4 linked regions of the Coturnix japonica genome follow. The protein of the gene in region 4 interacts with the protein of the main gene of each other region in a biochemical or structural test. Links are inferred from orthologs where the notes say so. Each region holds a gene or a part of one and is shown on either strand. Other genes may lie near its edges. The genes, in order: CDK9, PRKCZ, TLK1 and MBP.

The links.
Region 1: of the proteins of MBP (region 4) and CDK9, one has a biochemical effect on the other in vitro, tested with the Homo sapiens proteins (2 studies listed by BioGRID). The link is inferred for Coturnix japonica from reciprocal best matches to the Homo sapiens genes MBP and CDK9.
Region 2: of the proteins of MBP (region 4) and PRKCZ, one has a biochemical effect on the other in vitro, tested with the Homo sapiens proteins (2 studies listed by BioGRID). The link is inferred for Coturnix japonica from reciprocal best matches to the Homo sapiens genes MBP and PRKCZ.
Region 3: the proteins of MBP (region 4) and TLK1 form a complex in vitro, tested with the Homo sapiens proteins (2 studies listed by BioGRID, with this or other methods). The link is inferred for Coturnix japonica from reciprocal best matches to the Homo sapiens genes MBP and TLK1.

Annotation. Positions count from the first base shown.
Region 1 is NC_029532.1:3,651,123-3,657,140, forward strand, and holds the start of CDK9 (cyclin-dependent kinase 9), read right to left. Parts: upstream 3,989-6,018; 5' UTR 3,946-3,988; coding exon 3,854-3,945; intron 3,549-3,853; coding exon 3,467-3,548; intron 3,045-3,466; coding exon 2,954-3,044; intron 1,100-2,953; coding exon 933-1,099; intron 769-932; coding exon 597-768; intron 524-596; coding exon 375-523; intron 1-374. Other genes in the region: SH2D3C (SH2 domain-containing protein 3C), read left to right, coding at 4,788-4,827. UniProt on the Homo sapiens protein: Protein kinase involved in the regulation of transcription.
Region 2 is NC_029536.1:1,531,376-1,536,768, forward strand, and holds part of PRKCZ (protein kinase C zeta type), read right to left. Parts: intron 5,200-5,393; coding exon 5,112-5,199; intron 4,581-5,111; coding exon 4,461-4,580; intron 3,968-4,460; coding exon 3,888-3,967; intron 3,366-3,887; coding exon 3,276-3,365; intron 1-3,275. UniProt on the Homo sapiens protein: Calcium- and diacylglycerol-independent serine/threonine-protein kinase that functions in phosphatidylinositol 3-kinase (PI3K) pathway and mitogen-activated protein (MAP) kinase cascade, and is involved in NF-kappa-B activation, mitogenic signaling, cell proliferation, cell polarity, inflammatory response and maintenance of long-term potentiation (LTP).
Region 3 is NC_029522.1:16,161,834-16,167,804, reverse strand, and holds the start of TLK1 (serine/threonine-protein kinase tousled-like 1), read right to left. Parts: upstream 3,912-5,971; 5' UTR 3,800-3,911; coding exon 3,658-3,799; intron 3,354-3,657; exon of another isoform or gene 3,273-3,353; coding exon of another isoform or gene 3,239-3,272; intron 1-3,238. UniProt on the Homo sapiens protein: Rapidly and transiently inhibited by phosphorylation following the generation of DNA double-stranded breaks during S-phase. This is cell cycle checkpoint and ATM-pathway dependent and appears to regulate processes involved in chromatin assembly.
Region 4 is NC_029517.1:81,546,621-81,551,780, reverse strand, and holds part of MBP (myelin basic protein), read right to left. Parts: intron 3,984-5,160; coding exon 3,879-3,983; intron 3,285-3,878; coding exon 3,249-3,284; intron 2,701-3,248; coding exon 2,668-2,700; intron 1,716-2,667; coding exon 1,593-1,715; intron 251-1,592; coding exon 194-250; 3' UTR 1-193. UniProt on the Homo sapiens protein: The classic group of MBP isoforms (isoform 4-isoform 14) are with PLP the most abundant protein components of the myelin membrane in the CNS. They have a role in both its formation and stabilization.

The sequences.
Region 1 (6,018 bases), on a different chromosome or scaffold from region 4:
ATGAACACAGAACAGATTCCTACATGTAATGTTCTGTTCTTTCATTCTCTGAGCAACCAGCATCCTCTCAGTGCTCAAAAACAAGCACAATGCTCAGTCATCCCAGAAAAGGCCAAATTCACCCTCTTATGTGTAAGGAGGTGGTGTGAGTCATCAGAGAGCTGGAGTTTACACACAGCAGCATGGATGCTCAATGTTAAGCTGGACACTTAGCACCCAGGAGCCTCCCCAGCATCCCTGCCAGCAGCAGGCAAGCTCCAGTGCTAGGAACACACAACCCACACGTAAGAGAGGACAGAGGACCAGAAGTGCCTTGTGCCAGTCCCTGCCCTCACTGCTGTGCTGCAGATCCCACAGCCTGCCCATGCTCTCACCTCTGGTGTGATGGATCCGCAGAGCTGGCTAATGAGGGTGAGCTGGTGCTGCTCCGTGTTCCCCTGCATGATGGGGCTGCGGGTCCACATCTCTGCCATGATGCAGCCTCCACCCCAGAGGTCAATGGGGGGCCCGTAGTCCCGCTCCCCTAAACAGAGGTGCTCTGTAAGTCACCTGGGATGTGAAGGGAGGAGAAGCCAGCAGCACCCATCACCTCCTACCTAGCAGCAGCTCTGGAGGCCGGTACCACAGAGTCACGACCCGGTTGGTGTAGCGGTTCGGCTGGCTGTTCTTAGCCAGGCTGAAAGCTCGAGCCAGCCCAAAGTCTGCAAGCTTCAGAACTCCATCCCGCGTGATCAGAACGTTTGCAGCTTTCATGTCTCGATGTAAGATCTGTACGAGGACAGACACTGAAAAGTTACACCTCTGAGGTATCACCTCCTTGGGCACCCAGGTGCCAGCAGGGCGCTCAGACTCAGGAGATGAAGGACAAAGCAGAACTTCCCTCCAACCTGTACTACGACACCTCAGCCCACAGCACAGATCTGGCCCATTACCTTGTTCCTATGGATGTAATAAAGTCCATTCAATAGCATCTGCATAACTTTCTTGATCTCTGAGAGCGTGAACTTGACGTGGGTGTTGCTGAGAAGTCCAGCCAGGTCGTGCTCACAGAAGTCAAACACCAGGTAGATACTGCCCTTGCAGCGGTTGTATGGAGAGGCTACAGGAGAGGCAAAGAGGAACAGTCAGCAAGGGATTTAGTTCCTCCTGACCTCCATCCATCCTCACTCACTAGGTGAAACCTCACGGCAGAGGAACATCAAAACAGGGACTCCAGATGCCTCAAGAGCCTTCAAAAAGAGGTATTAAAACAGCAAAACAAGCAACAGTGGATGAGGATCAGAGTGGTAGTGAACATCATGAGAAAGGCAAAGCAAGAGCAAAAAAGTCTTTGAAAGCTTCATTTGTGTGTTGTGCTGCGTGTATTAACAGCTGTGGGGTTTTGTGCCTACAAACTGCAGCCCGTGGGTGCACACACACAGCTGACAGCCGAGCACAATCATTGCATCAGCATTAGAGGAGGAACAGGCAAAGACAGACTCACAGGAATACAGCAAATATTTCTAAAGCAACATCAGAAAGTGAAGTTTACTGCAACCTCAAATGGTGTCTATGAGAACAGACTGATGCAGATCAATATGATTTAAAACCCCAACTTCAATTGCAATTTATGGTCAATGACAGGAAACCTCAAATGAAGCAATCAATTTCAATCTTGCTCCTAGAGCACACGTGCAAAACACCAAAACAAAAGGCTGATTTTGATCAGCTGTGCACAGCAAAACCTGCTGATCAGCAGCAAGAACCAGAAAATGTGGGCTAAGCTCAGCCTGCACAGTAAATGCAGCCTGGAGGATGCTTTCTAGATTGCACATGACAGTGGTGCCGTCCTCACAACCCCTCTTCCAACATAAAAAGAGAAAAGCTTAAAGTCTGAGAACAGTCAATGAAATGTTTCTGTTTTTCACTTGAATCTGAGGTCAAGGTAGAAAAGTAGAATTTAAACAAGACCCAAACAATCTGACACAGCTACAAAAATATTGACCTGAGACGTGCCAGCAGCATGCAGTCATCACAGCTGGTTTAATCAATCCAAGAATTAAACATTAACTCAGTGTTTTTCCTCCTACCTACTGGTTCAAAAACCGACAGTTACCTACATTCTATGGAGCAACACCAAGTTCCCAGACCTAGGCCTGAGATTCCTACCAGTTGAGTGTAAAAAACAGCAGCAGAAAGGTGCTATTATCAATTGTATTTAACCAAAAAGAACTGACTACAGCATGGCAGGCTTTAATATCATCTGTCGCTTTCCAAACCTCTTTTGCAGTACAAATCCATATAAGAGAAGGATATATAAAAATGAGGAAATGCTTTAAAATGATTTCCCTGGAAACTGAGCCTGGCCAGGTGCATTAAGCACATCAGTCACACAGCAGAGACGTGCTGCCTCCCCCAGGGACTGCCTGCAGCGATGAGATGGAACAGCAGCTCAGCACAGAGCAACTGAATTGCTCACTGTGAAGTGGCAGCACTTCCAATCCAGCCCTCAAAGCCTGGGGGGTTCTGTCATGCACAGGAGAGGCTGAGCAAGTCTCCAGCTGGAGCTGTCACCAGCACAAAGCTCCACGAGCTGCAGAAACACGGCTCCTGCTCCCAATGGCATCAGCATCATAAAGCTGCAAAACCACCACCAGGCAGAAAACGTTCTGTTTCACATTCTCTCCTGCTGCAGGTTCATTTAAAGCCATTCAGCCAGCACACAGACAGCAGTCACTGAGACAGCACAGGCATGTGCCAGCAGCACTGACAACAGCTTTTTCCAGCCAAGCTGCAGCACAGTAGCACTCATTCAAAATGAGTTTCCACAGATGAGCGTGTGGTCACCCCAGATTAAACACATGCTCAGCTGGAGGATCCACCCCCAGTGCAACACAGCAGCCTGCTGAGCCAAGAACAAAGGCTGAAAACAGACACCCCCTCAGCACAGCACAAATGAGACCCCGGCAGCTACCTTTGGTCCTACAGATTTCTATGAGGTTCACCACATTCTCATGCTTCAGCAGCTGGAGGATTTTAATCTCTCGCAGAGCTGTGATGGGGAACTGGAAAGGAGAAGACACAGGTTAGGAGTGCAGCTCACATCTGCTTATAGAACAGGAGAGATTGGACTGCTGCAGCACAGGACACCTGCTTGAGTAGCACTGCAACAGCTCATTTAAGAGTAATTGAAACTACAAAACATTACAGGGGCGACAAAACTCATTGGCCACCCTTAGGATTCTGCCACAAGGTGGAGGTGTTTGTGTGACATGGACACCTGCCCTCCTTTCCCATCTATGAGCACAGCACATGGCAAAGCCCCAATTGACCCACAGCACAACCACCCCACCCCCATGTGCTGTGTGCTGTTACTCAAGACCTGGCACGTTACAGCAGTAAACACCATTAAAGTTAATACACACTGATGTTCCATAGCCCACCCCCCACCCCATCCCCTCCATAGCACAGCACAGCTCACACCTACCCCCTCCTTCTCGTTCTCCATCAGCACCTTCTTCAGCGCCACCTTTTTCCCCGTCTGCCGGTGTTTGGCTTTGAACACCTCCCTGTAACAACAAGAAGAGACCCATGTAACAACAAGGACCCATATAACAACACGGAGAGACCCACGTAACAACAAGGACCCACGTAACAACAACAAGGACCCATATAACAACACGGAGAGACCCATGTAACAACAACAAGGCCCCATGAGCCCCATAAGGAGGAGGCCGAGGCCCGCAGCCCCCACAGCACAAAGGCCCCGGGTCAGGCCGCGGCCTGTTCCCCATGACGCTGAATAACAGCAGATAATCGGCCCCATAGGAGCCATGCCCGGGCTGGGAGCAGAGCCGAGGCCCGCAGCGCTCACCCGAACGTGCCCTGCCCGATCTTGGCGAGCTTCTCGTACTTGGACACCTCATCGCAGAACGGGCACTCCACCATGTCGTACTGCTTGGCCATGCCGGCCGACGGCTTCACTTCCGCCCTCTCGCCTTACGCTATTTCCGGCGCGCCGGCGCGCTGCCTGCTGGGATTTGTAGTCCACCTTAGGCCGCCATGTTGTCACCCCGGATAAACCCGTATCACCCTGCGGCTTTATGGCTGTCTATAGCTGTGTGCCCGCGTTCCCTCCCTCACAGTGTCACCCACATAGGAAGGGCCGTGGCCATACAGGGACACTCCATAGGACAAGGCCCTGGGGCTGCCCACCAGCTCTGGGCCACTGCATCCCCCATAGAAATGACCCCACAGACAACACAGCTCCACCAGCACATGGTGCAGTGGGGCCTTGGGGCTCCACCATGGAGCTGAGCCCCATATGGGGACCTCCAGCCATGGAGCTGCCAGCCTGCCCCATGCCGGCACCCAGCCATTCAAGGGCGGCCCTAAAGCACATTAATCCCATTAATGGCACCTGAGCAGCCAGGAGGGGACTGTAGGGACAACAAGGGATGGGACTGCAAGGATCACAAGGGATGGGAGCACAGGGACAGCAAGGGATGGGACTGCAGGGACAATATGGGATGGGAGTGCAGGGATCACAAGGGATGGGAGTGCAGGGACAACAGGGGATGGGACTGAAGGGACAATAAGGGATGGGAGCACAGGGACAATAAGGGATGGGACCGCAGGGGATAGCGGGGACAGCAGCTGCCATAAGAGCAGATGGCAGCAGCGAGGAGGAAGCGCTGAGTGATTGAGAGAGCAAAGCGAGAGGCGGAGGGGGGACAGGAAGGGAGGAGCAGGCAGGGACAGGCTTCAAGTTTATAAACTTGTCCCTGCAGCCTCCACCCAGCACAGCCATGGCTGAGGGCCAGAAACGAGGGGGCTTCAAGAAATTCAGTAAGTCGTATCGGGATGGAGGGGGTGGGTGCTGGGTGCTCACCTGGGCTGGCGTGGGTGGGAAGGGGGTGTGTGAGTGTGAGCGTGGTCACCTCTCATTAGCAAGAAGTCTTCAGTTTTGTTAGGAAACTGGGGGCTCTGGGGGCTTCCATCCCCACAGCTGGAGCAAACCCTGGTGCTGATGGCTCTGGTGCTGGGGTTGGACTGGGAGCAGTCTGCTTGCACTGGTTGCCAGCATGTGACAGGGGTGAACCATTGCTCTGATCCCCCAAATCACAGCTTTCAGGGAGCATTTACCCCTCTGCATGGCTGGGGCTGGTGGTGTCCAGGAGCCCTCTGTGTGCTCCTGCAGCAGAGGGATGGGGTGGATGCTGGGGATAAATCTGCACTGATGGAGCCGCGCTCGGGACCGAAGCGGTGGGAGCTGAGCACAGAGGAAGTGCTGCTGCCCACCAGGAGGGAGCTGAGCTCTTTCTCACAGCCCTCGGGTTTTCCCCAAAGCCCTCGGAGGAGGCTCCATGGGGCTGCACGCCGCCAGCGCTGCACTGAGCAGGACATTGCCTTCACTGCTGCTCCCCGCATTCCTCTGCCTCCATCATGCTGATGCCGGCGCCGGAGGGAGGCCGACCCCTGAGCTCCCCCGGGAGCTGAGCAAAACCCATCTCCCACGGCCCCGGCCAAGCTGGGATTTTCCATTGTGGTGGAATGCGGGGGAAATGGGGAAGGCCCCCAGCTTTCCCACCCTGCAGCAGCCTCAGATGCAGAGGATGCTCGGATGCAGAGGGGATGTTTAACCTGAAGCAGTTTTGTCATTAACAGAGTCCAGGTCATGAGGTTTTGGCTATGCAGGAGTGCTTCTGGGTTTCTGCAGCCCCATTTGGCAGCAGGGGCACCCTGCAGACTGTGCAGGACATGGGCCCTCAGCACCCAGGCTCCTAGCAAGGTACTGCTGCAGCATTCAGCTTCCTGCCCCAGCAAATCTGGAGGGGAAGAGGCTTTGCACAGAGCCCTGCTGTGTAAGCATTGCAAAACCCCGGGGGCACTCAGAGCACCAGGCCTCCAGCTGAGCAGTGCTGCTGTGCCCCATGTGCTGACACTGGGGTAGCACCACGGCAGCACACAGTGCCAAGGTGTGAAACACAGAGCTTCCCATCAGGGTTATAAATACTCCTGCAGTGAACAATTCGAGCT
Region 2 (5,393 bases), on a different chromosome or scaffold from region 4:
TTCCCCCTGTTCTGTTAAGGAATTTATCACCACAGAAGTTAGTGCTTAAAAACTGTGGTTAAAAGGCAGTATGTTACAGGTAACTTCCTAACCACCAACTGAGCTAAACATCTACATGCTCTGCGTTATTACTCATGCTACAGGGCATAAAAGTGACCAATATACGAATTAGAAGGAAGTGATTTATCTATACGAGAAACATTGTAGGCTATGAGCAGTTGGAACCAATTTTACCTTCCTCTGAAGCTTCTGGTAATGGCTTTGATAGAGACAGGCTACCAGACTTGATCATTATTCTGATCTGCTATGGCCTACGTGGGACATACACTTCATACACTTTGGGTTAAGCCTTGCTGGCCACTGGAGGTCACCGTTCCTCTAGAGAAATATCAGATACAAAATCAACATTCAAAGCTCCCCTTGGAACAGAACCAACGACACTGACGGAAAATCGAAAAGCACAGTTTGTTTTCATGCAACATCCTCAGTGACAACAGCATTAAATGACAAAGCATTAAGATGGTTTTAATATATACTTCTGCATGAAGGCTGAACAACTAAACTTGGTTTTCATAGCAAAAAAATACTCTGATACACTCAGCTTTCTGCCTGGCTCCAGCTTCCTCACACATCTGGATGGATGGTTGAAACACACCAAGGGAAGGGAAACATCCTTGTTTCCTACAACAAGACTTGCAGGTTCTCTTACAGGTCTCGTACAATCTTAAGTGGTTGTATTTAATATTAAACAGCATTCTATGATTCTATCAATTGAAAATGGATACAAAAATTGAAGGTATTTGGATGTTTTGAAGCAATACTAACAACAAAAAGCCACTGATAGGAATAGAATTACACCCAGAACAGAAATATGTTCCTATTTTTGTAACCTTTTCCATTACAATTAACATAAGCAGCCTACAAATTCAATGATACTAAATGCCATTTGAGAAAAATGTCAAAATACTTAAGTATAACTTATTACACGTTACACAGTGAACACCAATATAGTTAATGCTCCACATCTAAAAATAGAGATCCAAAAATAATCCAGCCATCTAAGCTTTCTGTTCTAACTTGGTACAGTGTACTCAAGACTGGAAAAACTCCTACACAGATGCAGAATGCTGCATTACAGGAAACAGACAGGACAGTGTATTCACTTCTCTTCCTGAGGAACAGTATTAGAGTGCAATTAGAGACTAACCTGTTCTACGTAATGCTCCTGGCACACCAATCAAATGAAACTACCTCAACTACAAGTGCAATTCAGATTCACATCTCTAGAGACTCTGAACTCTTGACAAGAAATCTACAGCTAACAGGTAAAACTCACAATTAACAACTATTAACAAACAAGGATGGTAAAACTATTGGCTGTATTCAGTAGGAAGGGAAACACAGCAGATGAAATGCAACACCTGAACAGAATAAATGACTCAAAGTAGCCCTTGACCTTCAAGTCAGCAACAGAGACTAAATTAGTTCTATTTTTCAGTAGCACCAATCCCAATACTATCATCCTAAAATTCATATAAAGTACACAAAACAACAAAGCCAGCCAACCTGCCATCACCATCATCTAACAAAACAACAGAAATGAGGAGCTGAAACTACCATCCAAAACATAACCATTATTGCTTCTGCACACAGCCAGCAGTAGCCATGGCTCTGTAGCACAAATGTAATGGATAAATACTGTAAAAATAAGTACTTTGTGCTGAAACAATTAGAAAGGTTATATCGGTGTTTCCCTGAATGCTATTAAACCATCCTGCATCCAGAGCACACACAACTCAGACAACCAAGACTGAAAGCAACACTTACAGTGGCTTTACATTTTATCCTAAATACATTTCCCAGTACTAAAGTGCAGCTTAGCTTTTTTTCCTGACATCTTATGTCCTCCTGAGCAGCACTGCCCTCATTATCTTGCAAAATCATACAGAAATCCACCCCAATTTATTAGTGTTTTTAATTAGATATTTAATACCGAGGCTTTCAACCAAGAAGTAGGTAGAAAATCAAAATTCAAGTAAACTCAGCATATATGATGATCAATAACAGTCCCAATTAAGAAGCATTTATACAAATAAAGACAACAAATCTAGAAGCCTTGTGTACCTCTCAGAAACACTCTGCAAAACAGAAACCCTGCAGTGCGTGATGTTTATATTCTAACACAAACTCCAGTCAAGTTGCATTATAGCTACCACTGGGTAGCCAACATAATGGAACACAGCACGTAGGTAAAAGGAGAACAGAAAACGAGTCACGTCTGTGACAGAAGTAGACGTCCTTGTAATTGCGGTACAAATCGCTTTGTGAACGGCAGGTATTTTAAAACACTGGCTCCTAATGGACTGAATGTCTTCTCTGAATGTCTGAACAGCAGGTCTGAGAGTAACTGTCATCATACGGTTCCTTCTGAACCTCCTTCACATTATTACTGACATTGCTGACTGCCTGTTTCTATATTTTGTGGAGACCTCCCAGGACTATGAAAACACCACACGCATTTATTCTCAATATTCTCAAGGTTCAACTGAAGTATTAAAAACGTAACGCTGGAAAGGAAGAGTTCCCAACTGCTTTTTGGCTGTGTCCATAAATGCAACAATGCAGTTCCTATGGTGACTTTCTGTGAAGCAGAGACAGTCACCAAGTATCAGAACCTTTTATAAGGCTAGCTGTAATAAATATTTATGCATCCAGACCTACAGACATGCAAGTTGTCTCTCCATCCTAAGCAAACATTTCCATCATAACACCAAGTGTAGAGAAAAATAGAAGAAATCAAAGAATCACTTCAAATAGCTACAAAACCCTTAAGCCACTTTTTTCAAGAAAGAGACGCAATCCTATTCTGCCATAAATGTTATTTCACTGTTACCTACCTGAATAATCCCACTGATTTTTAGAAGTACAGAATTTGATTTTTTTTCTTTAAATAACATAGTACAAATAGACCAGAAATGCTTTGGGCACGTGAAGCATCTCACCTCCCATGGCTGCAGATTAACTGGTTCCATGGCAATTTACCTGCTCTTGTTCACTCAGTTACCTACCAGCCTTCTCTCTCTTTGAGGTAGAAATGTTTCTAATCAGGGAAATTAAGCACTGCTTGCTAATATATGCTTCCCTTATCTGTTAGAGCAGTGAAATGACCTCCAGAGGAGTCCAACTGCAGGCACCATGCATCTACGCTGGGTAAATTAACAGGAAACTAACAAGTTGTTTCTTTTAAATGCACAAACAGAAGTAATTATTTTTACCAGATCCCAGTCTATGCTGCGGAAAAACGTGTGAGACTTGATATCAGAAAATCCCGTTTGTGGCTGACAACCAAGCCTTTCCTTGGGATCCTGCAAAAAACACAAACACTCTGTTACACACTGAGTCAGTTACAGCCCATTTTTGTCAGAACCCCATCTATATCACCAGCATTCTCCACTAGTACAACAACTGCTGTTAAGATGCTCATACCATGGCTACCAAAGTGTTTACATTCTCTTTTGGAGTTCATATAAAAGCTCTATTTAACAAAGTATTTTACATCCCTCCCCCCCTCCCGTTTGAATGATGATAAGTCTATGGATTTCAATGAACATTAAGCATTACAGATAAGAGTTTATAAGTGTCTATAATAACTTCTAACTACAGGCAGGCTTCTGAAACAAGTCTGATGTGGGAACACGGGAGCTCTTCAGAGCAACAAGTTGTGTGGTGGTGGTTTGGTTGGTCTTTTTTTATTTAAATCATACAGGATGCCAAGGTTTTATAGATTTTCTTTATAGTAAGCAGATTAACTTCTTAACTGTATTCCTTTCAACAGGAAGCCCTGACTTCCAGATAGTAGATGCTAAAAATAAGAGAATGTTATTTACCTTGTTTAAAAATCCTTTTAACACATGGGAGGCCTTGACAGAAAGAAACCTTGGAATCCGGATTGGCTTCTCAAGAATAACTGTTAGAGGTTTAAAAACAGTAATATTGTTGTTGGTTTTCTTTTGTTATTTTATGACATCGACCATTATTTTAATACAAACATTACATTGTTACACTTTGGAAAATGGGAACACATGGTAATTTCTGAAAATAATGCAAAAGGAGTTACAGTAATACAAATACTGCACCAAAACTTCAAGATTTCAGAAGTAAATGTTAGCTACGTGAACCTGTCATTTATAGCATAAATAGGGAATAGTCAGATTTCTATCTGTTTTTTGACATGCTTTTATCATCTGTAGAAAGGTTCCTAATTCCAGGCTATTTCATCACAGTTCAATAAAATAAATACCTAGGATGAAACCTTAAAAATACTTCATATATTATAGACCTGCTAGCAACTGTGAGATAATACAAGGAAAGGAAAAGAGAAGGTAATTCTAAGTATCCTACTGCAATTCTTAATTTTCATCATTCCTCCCCCCAAGAGAAATCATAGAAAAAAACAATACCTTGGAAGAGGTAATCTTCAGTGTTCATGTCTGGATTGTCAGTAATGATATCAAATGGAGACCTTCCTGCCATCATTTCAAACATCAATACACCAAGAGCCCACCAGTCCACGCTGAACCCTGTCAATATTTACACAGCAGATTTTCAGCTGCTCCTCAAATGTCAGAGTTCTCATCATGTGAGGATTAATGCCCTGGTCCTACACAATCAGTATTGCTGGATAGAACTTGACAGGAATTTGGGCCACATAGGAAACCTGTACAGATTCTGTAGGTACCCATACACAACCCAACCTACTGATCAGATCAGTTTATAACCACAACACTAATTAAGATTACAGTTCTGACTTCTGCATAAACAATGAACTTAGTCACAGCATTCCATAACCTTGCCTGGGGAACAATAGCAGTTGGGATGTCAAGTACATCAAGGGTTGGGGCTTGATTTTGATACAGCAACACTGCATTGCTCAGGGAAAGTAGGATTTAAAACTAGCCAAAATGAATGACTTCTAAAATCAAAAGGCTGGGTTTGTTTTACATATAGGTGGAAAAAAAAGAAATTCAGTAACAACAGTATTTGAACAAAGCTACAACTCTAACTTGGTTTTGCGCTCAGTTATAACATCAATCTGTTCAGTCTCAGCTTACCATATTCTTCTCCTCTTAGGATTTCTGGTGCAATGTAATTCGGTGTTCCACAGAAAGTGCTCGTAGTGTCACCAGGGCCCAATCCTTCCTACATACATAAAACAGTTTAAAACATTTTAGTAGTTTACTTCTACTTTTGAGATAGAAAACTGAACAGAAGAAACAAACTCAGTCAAGGTCAATTTCTTTCCTGCAAAGCGATCAGCATAAGAAACACGAAGGATGAAGTTACAAATCTGGTCCTATGCTTCAGTTAATTTGCAGCATTAAGTTGCTATTCCA
Region 3 (5,971 bases), on a different chromosome or scaffold from region 4:
CTTTTACATGTGCCAATGCATCATAGGAAGAAGATGGGGGACAAACCAGCAGCTACAAACATTTGCTAGGCTGGAAACTTAGGGAAGAAAAAACAATACCTTCATTCTCAGGTGGACAACTACCATCACATTTCAGGTAATGAGAACTACGAATAATAAACATTCATCAAATTAAAAAAAACAAAGTTTGCTACATTGTTCTTCAAACGGCATTAGAAACATGTCATGGATTTATTTACCACATTTTTATCACCTTTAACTTGAGATCACATTCTAGATGTGAACCTTCCCATCCCTGATTTGTTGATTCAGATTCAGTGTATTTAGCACTCTGCTTTGTACTCAGCAAAGAAAACATCAGCCTGCAAAGCACCATGCCACACTGCCAGACACTGACAACCTGACTCCAACCTCAGAGGAGGAAATATTTCAAGGTACTCGCATACGTGTCCCAAAACCTCCCTGTTCTGTCTGCGATAGCCTGGTTGTCTCCCATTTCTAAACCAGCACCCTGCAGCTGTGCAATGTGATCTCTTCAGTGCCACACATGAACAGCAAAGAAACTTCAAACACAAAGCTGCATGACTGCAGTTACATGAGCTATGGCACAAGATTCAGTAAACAGTGTTTACAGTAGCACTACTTAACAGTCTTCCTAAATTCCTCATAGCCTAAGTCGCATGGTTCTTGAATGACTGACCAAATACAGATCAGTTACTGCATAAAACAAGGGATAGAAGGAATGCTTGATACTACATGGAGTTGGAAACACCAAACAGTTCTGATACAAGAGAAGTGTACAGATACAATTTTACTTAAGTCCCTGCCAATGTTTTCACTTCAAAGCCCTAAAACACAAGTTCACATCTATTCAGCTGGGCAATGATGCCTCTGCAAGTCAAGAGGTGGGAGAAGCCAACACTCATGAGGCACTGCTACAACCCTGTAACACATTCCAAAAAAAGAAAATATTTTCTTTAACTTCACCCTGTATTTCCCAAGCAGTCCCATTTCAAGACTATTAAACCTAACATTTGAAAAGCAAAACAAAAGAACTTTTGAGTGACAACTATGTATGTCAGAGGCTGATCGGTTGTTTTTTTTAATTCACTTGACTGGTTGATTTTGGTTATTTGGTTTCTCCACATTAAGGCTTTGGAGAGCACTTTTTGGACCTGCAAAAACAGAGCACCAGGGGTTCCTGTTCCCAAAGGTGGGAATCTTCACATGGTGAGCACCTTGCAGGCAGCTGCCAGGCTGTCCCAGCAGGTTGCGGGTAAGGCTATGTGAGCTGCTGCGCTGTGAGACACCATGCAAGGCCTGCACATCTGACAGGAAAGCCAGCCTGGTGATGGCAGGAGTTGAAGAGAGGGGTCCGGCGTCTCATAATAAATGTGCCCAGGCCAAAGGTTCAGCACAAGCACAGCAGGCCCACACCTGGACACCCAGCGCTGGTGCTAGTGTACGAGTCTTGCCCAGGCCCACGCTCTCACATACTGCTGCCAGCACACAGGTGATGTCTGGCAGCACTGCCTGGGCTCACCAGTCAAGAACCAGCATGCGCACAAGCTCCTTTAAACACGTTTTGGGTTATTTTGAACTTGTTAAGTTTGATCTGACATAGTTCTTGCATATGTACAAGCCAATGCCTATGAGCACACCGGCCTATTAGTGTTTGGCGGCCTACTGCTTTCACACAAGATGCACCATTTCAAAATACACGTTTACGAAGCAAGGTGCACTGCTACCATCCTGCCAGCTTACGCCAAAAGCAGACATGGACACCACCAATAGTTCACACTGGCTCCCAGAGAGAACTGCCCGGCGAGGCCATGCAGCCATCACAACATGGGAACACTACACACACAAGGCCAATCACAGCACCACGCACAGAGCTGGGCTTTCACTGCTCTGAAACCCCTTAACTGCACAGTGCAAATTACGGCACTTAGAACAATCCAACCGCAGGAGTCGTGAGAAGGGATGTAAAAAACACCATCATCATCATTGCCGCCTTAAAAATTAACATCACAAAACTGCTTTTCCATGCCTAGATGCCAGGCTTAAACCAGTTTTCTTTAAATAACAAATAAATATATATATTTTATATATATACATGCATGTGCATATATATATATATGTGTGTGTGTGTGTGTATATATATACACACACGTTATCTGTACGTTGTGCTGCAACCATCATTTCAGGCTTGTGCACCCGGTGTCTGAAATACATCCCAAAATATCCCACGCAGGCACTCAATATGAATATTACATGCACGCATCCATAACAAGTGTTGCAACACTGCTGAAACCTACTCCTAATAAAGTTAAAATCAGCTGCACGTTCAGCTGGGGGCGGCCGTAGTGCTGCCAGTCGGCTTCCAGGAGCGCAGGAGCACAAAATGCCTGCCACTTTACTCAGCATCTTTAACATATACCGTAATCCCTCTCCAGGTATTTTCTAGAGCATTTCGTGTTAGCCTGCCTGGCGGAGCGCGTGCGGAGTGACGGGAGCGATACAAGTCTGACAACTGCTGGCACAGAAAATGGAGAAGCACCTCCTGCTTTTTGGGAGAGCGAATCCCCGGCACCGAGCCCTCAAACTGCTTATCAACAACGGCAACAACGACAAAAAAAAAAGCCACAGGAAGACTTGAAAAACAAAGACCGCTCTTCTCGCTTTAATTTCTATTTCAAGTTCTCAAGTTTCCTGCCTGGCCAGCGACATTTTGCAGAGATCGGAAGGCGAGCTACGTGGAATTGATCAAAGTGGGGCAAATGGAGCGAAATTACACAACTGTTCAGCACGCGGGTGTGCGGGCACAAAAGTTCTCCCCCGCCACAAGTAGTTCTCCCAGCAGAAAGCCGCGAGCCGCTCTCCAGCTGTAGAACTGCTACATCTTGTGGTGGTGCATCTCAATGCAAGGAGGAAAAGCAGACAATAACCCGAACGGAACAGAGAAGGGACTTGTTTGCTCATAACCTTCATACAGCTATTCCCCGCAAACACCCACAACACCCCGCTCTGCCTGTCGGTGTAACACAAGAGGGGAGGAGCAGAGGAGGGAGGAGGAAAATATTATCATCCGAGGCGTGATGGAGGAAAGCAGAAAGTTGCAGTCATAGCGCGGCGGTGGCCGTGAGGCGCCCTGTCACCGCCGCCGCGGGGCCGACCGCTCCCCGGGCGCCTTCGCGATAGGGACGAGCCCCGCGGTTCCGCTCCGTCCCCGCCCCACCTCCACGATGCCAAAAGTGCCCGACTCCTTCCATCCAGAAACAACGGCCGCGTCCTCCCGCACTCCGCGCACCGCCGTTACTCCGCCGCCGGAGGAGGGCACCGCTCCCCGGGGAGGACGCGGGCAGCGGCCCCCGCCGAGAGCAGACGCGAGCCGGAAGGACGGCCGGAGCGGAGCGCCGCGGCCCGGCGGGAGGGGGGCGCGAGGAGCGGCGGGGCCGAGCCCCTCGCCCGGCGCCGGAGGCTCCGCTGGGCTCCGCCGGGCCCGGCGCTGACCCCGAGCCGCCGCCGCCGCCGCGAGGGGCACCCGCCTGTCCGCCACCGCTCCCCGCCAGCCCGGGACCGGCCTCCGGCGGCGGCAGCCGGGCCCCTCCCCGACGGCCGGCCCCCCCCCACGAAGCCCCGCGGCGCGCCGGTTACCTTCCTTGGGCGGCTTGCCGGGCGGCGCGCCGTGCAGCTGGGAGGCCGCCGCGGAGCAGCCCTGCAGGCTCGGTGGGGACGTGGAGAGCCGGGACCAAGATGGCGGCCCCTCCAAACTTCCACTGCTACTTTGGACACTCATCAAGCTACTTTCCTGGAGCCTGGCAGCCGCCGGGGGCGGCGGGGGAGGCGGCGCGGCGGGGGGACACCCAACGCCGCGCTCATGGCCGGGGGGCCGGCCCGACACCGGCGCGGGGAGGCCGCCGGCGGGCGGAGGGCTCCGGAGGCAGGCGGGGCGCGGGAGGGACGGGGCGCGGGGCCGGCGCCACCCGCCCGCACCTCTGCACTGCGTCGCCGCGGCCGCCGCCGAGCAGCCGCCCGTGTCTGAGGCTGAGGCTGAGGCTAACCTTCCCCACCGCCGCCGCCGCCGCCGGGGAGGGGAGGGCGCAGGCGGGGAGGGGTCATGCGCAAACACGATCGCGAGCAGAGCGAGCGCCGCGCTCCGCCGGCGCCCAGCCGAGCCCAGCAGCTCCGAACCGGAGCCGCCCAGGGGCGGCGGGCGGGAGCGGCGGCCCCCGCGCACGCACCTGCCCCGGCCGGCCCCCTACCCACGCCCCGCGCCGCTCGCGGAGCCGCGGCCGAGCCCTGCGTGCAATGCGCTCGGGGGGAGCGCGCCGCGGGCCCCGGGCCGGACACGGTGCCGGGGGAGCGGCGAGCCGCGGCAGGGCCGAGCCCTGTGCCATGTGCCGGGCGCCTCCTCCGCCTGCGCGCCCTCGGGCCGGAGAGCGGCATGGCCGCGTCCAAAGCCCGGCTGCTCTTCTTTTCCCTACCGCCAGCGCGGTCTCTGCCGAGAACGGGAGAGACGGGGAAAAGTCAGGTCTGAAACAAAGCCTTCCCGGTTACGAGCGTAACTTAATGGTTTCGTTCGCTTGGAAGAGCCGTGGCTTACATGCGGGAATGAGGATCCCCACGTGCTGGGCATGGCACTCCCGTACGCAGAGAAGACCCCTGGCCCCGCGTTCACTGCCCTCCCCTCTGGCTCAGGTTGGTGGCAGACTGTTCATGAAGCAGCTTTCGCCGATTCCTCCTTTCTCTCCAAGTGACACGTCAAATTTTCTGAGATCCTCACCGCCCACAAGAATACAGCATCACTGCAAGCATCTTAGCAATAAGGCATTAACCTGAAGTAAAAAATCAGTTGGTTTACTTCCTAAGTAAATCTGGCTCAGAACTCTCCACGTGTTTGGCATGGAGAAATGTTCTCTAACCAGGACCTCCTTGCCTTTAAGGACTTATCACAGAAAAGACTATTCAGGCTTTACTAAGCAACTTAGGACAGGAGTTGAGTAGTACTTTGACATGAAGTGAGGCTGTGCAGTATTGATACTGGGGGGCTGCTACAGCTTCTTAACTTCCTGCAAGGTTAAAACCGAGCCATGCCCACAGAGCAGAACTGTACCTTGTAGCCTGAGGGACAATGGCTGGTGAACTGATGAGGGTTGGTGCCCCCCAGGGAGAAGCAGCATGTTCAGAAACTTGTTGGCCCACACGTATCCACTTCAGACAAACCAGAGCCCCGCAACCTTTAGAAAAACCTACAGAAACGCATCCTTCCTGCACTATTCACTGGAATAGTGAATGAGAAGGAAGATGCCATTCGTTACTTAGGTTTCCATCGAAAACCTTTCTTAATGTGCCAGAGCTAGTACTGACTTTAAGGCGTCCTTGTAAACCGCATTGCTTTGGTGCTACCATTTCAATCATAGAATCACAGAATGGCTTAGGTGCGTACCTTTTAGAATTATCCAGAGACATGCTAGAAGACTCATTCTGTAGCACTGTAAATGTGCACAATGCTCTTCAGTCACTGGCGATAGCTGCAATCAAACGTCACCTGGTGGGCAAATGGGTGACCCCTCATAGCAGTGAGCTCTGTGCCACGCACCCCAAATGTTAAAAATGAAATCTAGCCCAAACAGTACCAAATAATTATTACTCATTATTTTATGTTTTGTTAAAAATATTTGTATATTAGATAGTTTTCTTTGCCTTCAAGTTTTCAGGAGTGGAATAGTCTGCTCTCACTGTTTGCTGGGTACACAGCACCTATTGACATCAGATGTGACTCAAGGTGGGAGAAATGGGGAAACACCCACTCAGCGGGATTGCACTGGATAGAAACAGAGATGGTGCTGCTTATCTGCATAGAAGGGAAGGCTTGATTCCCACCTAGTCCTCAGAAAGCTCATTGGATTTCACTACATGCTAAGAAAGGACCCTGAAATTCAGATCAGAACAGAAGGGAGTGAAATGC
Region 4 (5,160 bases):
TTTGTGTGTTCTTTTCATTCAACTGTTGGTCAGGGATTGCCAATAGAAGTTTGTATCATCTACTGCATGCAGACCCTAATTGGCACTAAGTAATGGACTGCATCTAACTAGGTAATTCTTGCAGTTGTTATTAATTTTAAGGCAGTTAGATTATGAAGCAGAGTGCATGGTCCTTGAATGGCATCGTAGAGCTTCAGCGCCTCGCAACTGGTGAGCCAGACCGCGATCCAGGCCGGGAGCCAGAGCCACCCTGGGGAAGGAAGAATGGAGTTAATTAGCAATAAGGTACTGTGTGCATAGGGCTACATGTATCAGTCCAATACAAAACCTTAAATATCTAATGAAAATGACTCTGGTATTCATTATAATTAAGTTCTTATTTGAATTTTAACATGAACCAATTGCTTCTTATATACTTTCACATAGAATTAATTCATTCTCATTAAATTCTCATATGTAGCTAGGCATGTATTGTGTTCAGTTTTGGGCTCCTCACTACAAGAAAGACATAGAAGCCCTGGAACGTGTCCAGAGAAGGGCAACTAAACTTGTGAGGGGTCTGGAGCACAAGTCTTAAGAGGAGCAGCTGAGGGAGCTGGGATTGTTTAGCATGAAGAAGAGGAGACTCAGGGGAGACCTCATCCCTTCCTAAAGGGAGGTTGTGATGAGGAGGGACTTGGCCTCTTCTCCCAGGCAACAAACAGAACCTGAGGAAATGGTTGCAAGTTGTACCAGAGGAGGTTTAGACTAGATGTAAGGAAGAATATTTTTTCTCAGAGAGTGGTCAGGCACTGGAATGGCTGCCCAGGGAGGTGGTGCAGTCACTGTCCCTGGCAGTGTTCAAGAGGTGTCTGGATGAGGAGCTCTGAGATATGGTTTAGTGGTTTGTGGTATCAGCTGTAATGGACTAGATGATCTTGTAGGTCCTTCCCAACCTTGTCATTCTACAATTCTGTGAGTTAGTTGTACATGCTTGTTCTTTTTGAGGCCTTCCTTATACAAGTGCCATGTTTTCTTGTGCATCTAAAAAGAATGTAGCTCTCAGCCTTGATTAGAAGGTTAAAGAAGCCTGGGCTATGTTCTGCTGAAATGCTCTGGACTTGCACCAGGCAGAGACTGATACAGTGTGAAACTTTCTTTTGGAGATTTACATAGGTGAGAGCCAGGCTCAACTATTAGTTGTTTTGATTCTTAAAGCAAGCAGTGGACTGGAGCTCTTCTGAAATACTTGAATAGGGAATGATTTGTAAGCGTACGTTTCAGGATAATTGAAGTGTTTCTCTTCTATTTCTAAAGATTCCAAGCATAAAACTGAAGTATTCTGCATTTTCAGTTGCCTTGTTTTTGTTTTCTTTTTTGTCATAAGCAAACTAAAGAAACCATTTACCTGAAGCCTAACTTCTTGTCAAATGGTTTATCTATTTATCAGGTGATTTTATAAGACCAACATCTTTGAGAATGCCTACTTCCTTCCAAAGCTTTGTGGAAACGTGGTTGTTCCAAACATGGCATCTCCTAGAGAGGTTGGGCTGCACTCAGCTTTTCTCTGGGCTCAGCTGTTTGAACTTACATTAACTTGAATTGTACTTTACCAGTTTAAAGATTTTGGAAAGAGTGCCCTGGCCCTCGTGATAGGATCCCTTATGTCCCTTGTGAGCAGATTTGTGCTCATAGAATTTTCCACTTCCGTATCCCGGCTTGTGTCCTTCACCACCCTGCATAGAAAGAGTTTGGTGTACATTTCAGATCAGCATATTGACATTAATTTCATGTTCACGTGGTAATCTTTCTTTGTCATCGCTGAAACATGGAGAATCTTAGAGGAAGTTGCAATAAAATAGTCTTTTAAGTAAAAAGCCAGGGTAAAGGCAAGCATTAGGTGGTTTTCTTGGTGTGCTGGTGCCTGAGGGAAGCAATCTGTAAAAGAAGAACTAATAATCAAAAGCGGATGCTCAGAGCGTTAACCTGCATGACAAAACTTAAATAAAAAAAACAAATTCAATTTACAAGTTCTGAGGTGATTATGCATGAAGTAAATTGGTGTTCTGTTGGCAGTGAAAGAAACGTATAACAGCTTGAAGGCTGTAATATTTTTTTTTTAGCTTAACATGTATGCGTTCTTCTTGTTACAGAACCAAACCTGCGGCAGAGAAGTAGGATTTAATCAGCTGTGATAACTAAAGGAGGAACTTGCCTAACTTGGGCTGATCTCTTCACACTGGAAGAGGTGGTGAGGAAAGGTGAGACCAAATACTTGAATTAGTGGTGGTGTTAGTTCTGTAGGGCTTAATGGGGACAGATCCCTGCCTGGACACCACCTGCCCTCCCATCCTTGTCTTTCCCAGGAGAAGAAACCCGCAGCAGTGAGTCTCCCAGGACGTTTAAAGGAAGTCAGCTTTGTCATGCAGAGGATTTTGTTCCCTTCATGCTGAAGCAGAAGAAATATTTGTTGCGAGGCTGTCAGTGTGCTGGATAAGAGCGTGCGTCTCGATTACCATCTTAAAGTGCTGTGGGAGGAGGGAGGAAAGTAGAACAGGAAAAGCAAAATAGCAAAACCGAGATGAAACAAAATTATTGTGTTGCTGCAGCAGCTTGAGGCAGTGGAGCAAGGTATGCTTTGGCCTAGTAAAAAAAATGGCTGTTTCCGAAAGCACATTCATCACCTACCCAGCTAAATCTGGTGAGGGACAGTCCTCTTCCCTGCACGTGGAAGAAACAGAAACAATAACACAACGGTCACTACAGAACATTGGATCAGAAGTTGTTGAGAATGCAGTGAAAAACAACGAGAAACTGGCCAGATAATGAAGCATCAGTCATTCCATAAAATGAAAAAGGCAAAGTTCTCAGTCAGAATCACAAGAGCTTCCATCACTTGCCGTGGTTCATCAATCATGGGCTGTGGGAACCATGTCAGCTTATCAACATGAGAACAGTTCCTGGAGGTTGAGGCTTGGCTGACAGTTGTACCTATTATTAGTATAATGTATGAAACACCCACAACAAAAAAACTAATATATAAGGACCTCAACATTTGGCTTTAATCTAGGTGTCATGCAACAAATCAGGAAATGCACAAGGAGAGGAGCCATGGCTTTTTTGTCTTAATCCCTGGCTTGGGATATTCCTAAAGGCAACTCCTGATTTATATTTATCATGATTAAAGATAACAAATGGACTGGTGGTTGAAGTGGTATAAATGACCCCGAAGACCCATGGGCACTGCCTGAGCCCTGGACTGCTCTTACCTTTGCTTGCATTGGAGGAGGAGTACGGGGTGAGACCTAAAAACCAACAAAAAAAAATTATAAAGCCAAAGCAACAATAAATTGAGATAATTATCAAGTAAATTCAGGGAATCATAGAATGCTTTGAGTTGGAAGAGACCCTCTAGGGTCACTTAGTCCAACTCCCCTGCAAGAAGCAGGAATGCCTACAGCTCCAACAGCTTCTCAGAGCCCCATCCAGCCTGACCTTGAGTGTCTCCAGGAAACTCTGAATGTCTCCAGGAGTTATTAGTCCTTATGTATTAGTTGTTAATTTTGTTCTTCTCTTTGCTGTCATGTGAACATTTTTAAATCTCTTTCTAAAGAAAGACGCTGGTTGCCAAAGACAGCAGCATAAACCTTGTAAATGGTGAAGCTGCATAATTACAACAACTGCTCTTGAAACGTGACTGTGCTAATTGAGGGTTCACCCACTTGGGTGTAACATTTCGGCACTGTTCTTGTTTCCAGGTGAAATTACATTGAATTGCATGATGAGCTCAAAGGTGTAGAAGAATTCATTAGTAAAGGGTAATGACTGTGGGATATTTGATTATAGGTGGATCTGAAGGAATGATAAGAATGTGGAGAAGAATGAGAAGTGGAACTTACAATGTTCTTGAAGAAGTGGACTACAGGGTTGTCATCACCAGGCCGGCCGTGCTGAGACCTCTGGGGGATGGAGCCTACATGGCTGGCCCTGGCTGCATGTATATCCTGCAACAACAGCAGAGTCCGGTCAGCAGGGAGGAAGGAGAACAGCAGCTGTTGGGAAAGGCTCCCTTTGTGTGAGGGAAAGGAGAGGGGAGTGCCTTGGAAATCTGTGGGGAGTGAGTCTGAAAGTTATCAGTGCTGCAAAGGAACAATTTTTTATACAATGGCCAATGCGCTATTGTACCAAACGCATACATATGTTGTGCATGTGTATTTATATAATGGTGCTTGTGTTTGTAACGTTACAGCCCAGCGTGGGACTGAACCTGGGACAATTAGAATCCAGAAACTTTACAATTTTACTTCCTTCAAAGTTGGAACACAGGATGTAATTTTAGAGATAAAACCTGAGAAAACTTAAGCTGGATCATCCTCCATGGGAGAGCGGGAATGGGTTGTATCTATTTCTCAATGGATGCAGCAGGACTAAGTTTAAAAAGCTAATCGGTCCCTGTGAGTTGACCCAAATGACAAACGTCTGTCCATCATTGCCAGTGTCAAGGTATAATGCTTCACTCTCAGCACAATGGATCCCAGCTGTGCGCAACAGGGAAGGCAGGAGAGAATGAAAATAACAGTGGCATCTCTTGTAAGTGCCACGTGGGTGATACAGATCTCATTGGCCCCTAAACAGAAATAGAGATCTGTGTTGAGAGAAAATAAGCTCTTCCAAACAGAATGAATGTGTGACTCTGGAACAGTATGAGCAGTTACTTAGAATACAATTAATTTTTGTCACATAGAAGATCAGCTTGCTACAGAAGGACTTGGTCACGTTGTTGCGGTGGGACTCCTGGCTTGTGAGCAGTGTTGCAATGAGGAGTGCCAGTAAGGCATCAACGTGATCAGAACAAGTTACCACCTCCATGTTGCCTTTTAAGTCTATATCTAAAGAGAACAGATCTGTGTTTATCACAAACACCCTGATCTGTGTTATGTTACATTTCTTCAGCAGTGTTGCAGATCACAATGTCTTACCAACAGCTTGCTGTCAATCTACATGAAGCCCAACGGAATACATTGTGAGCAGATGTATTTTGCTGTTCTGCAGTGGTCGACGGGTTGCCACCAGGCACAAAAAGGTGGGAATAATTCGGTTTTATGAGTGTGGTGGAGTAGTGGAGTCTGAGTTTATTTTAGCATCCTGGTCCATTATTAGGCACTAATAATTTAGCTCATT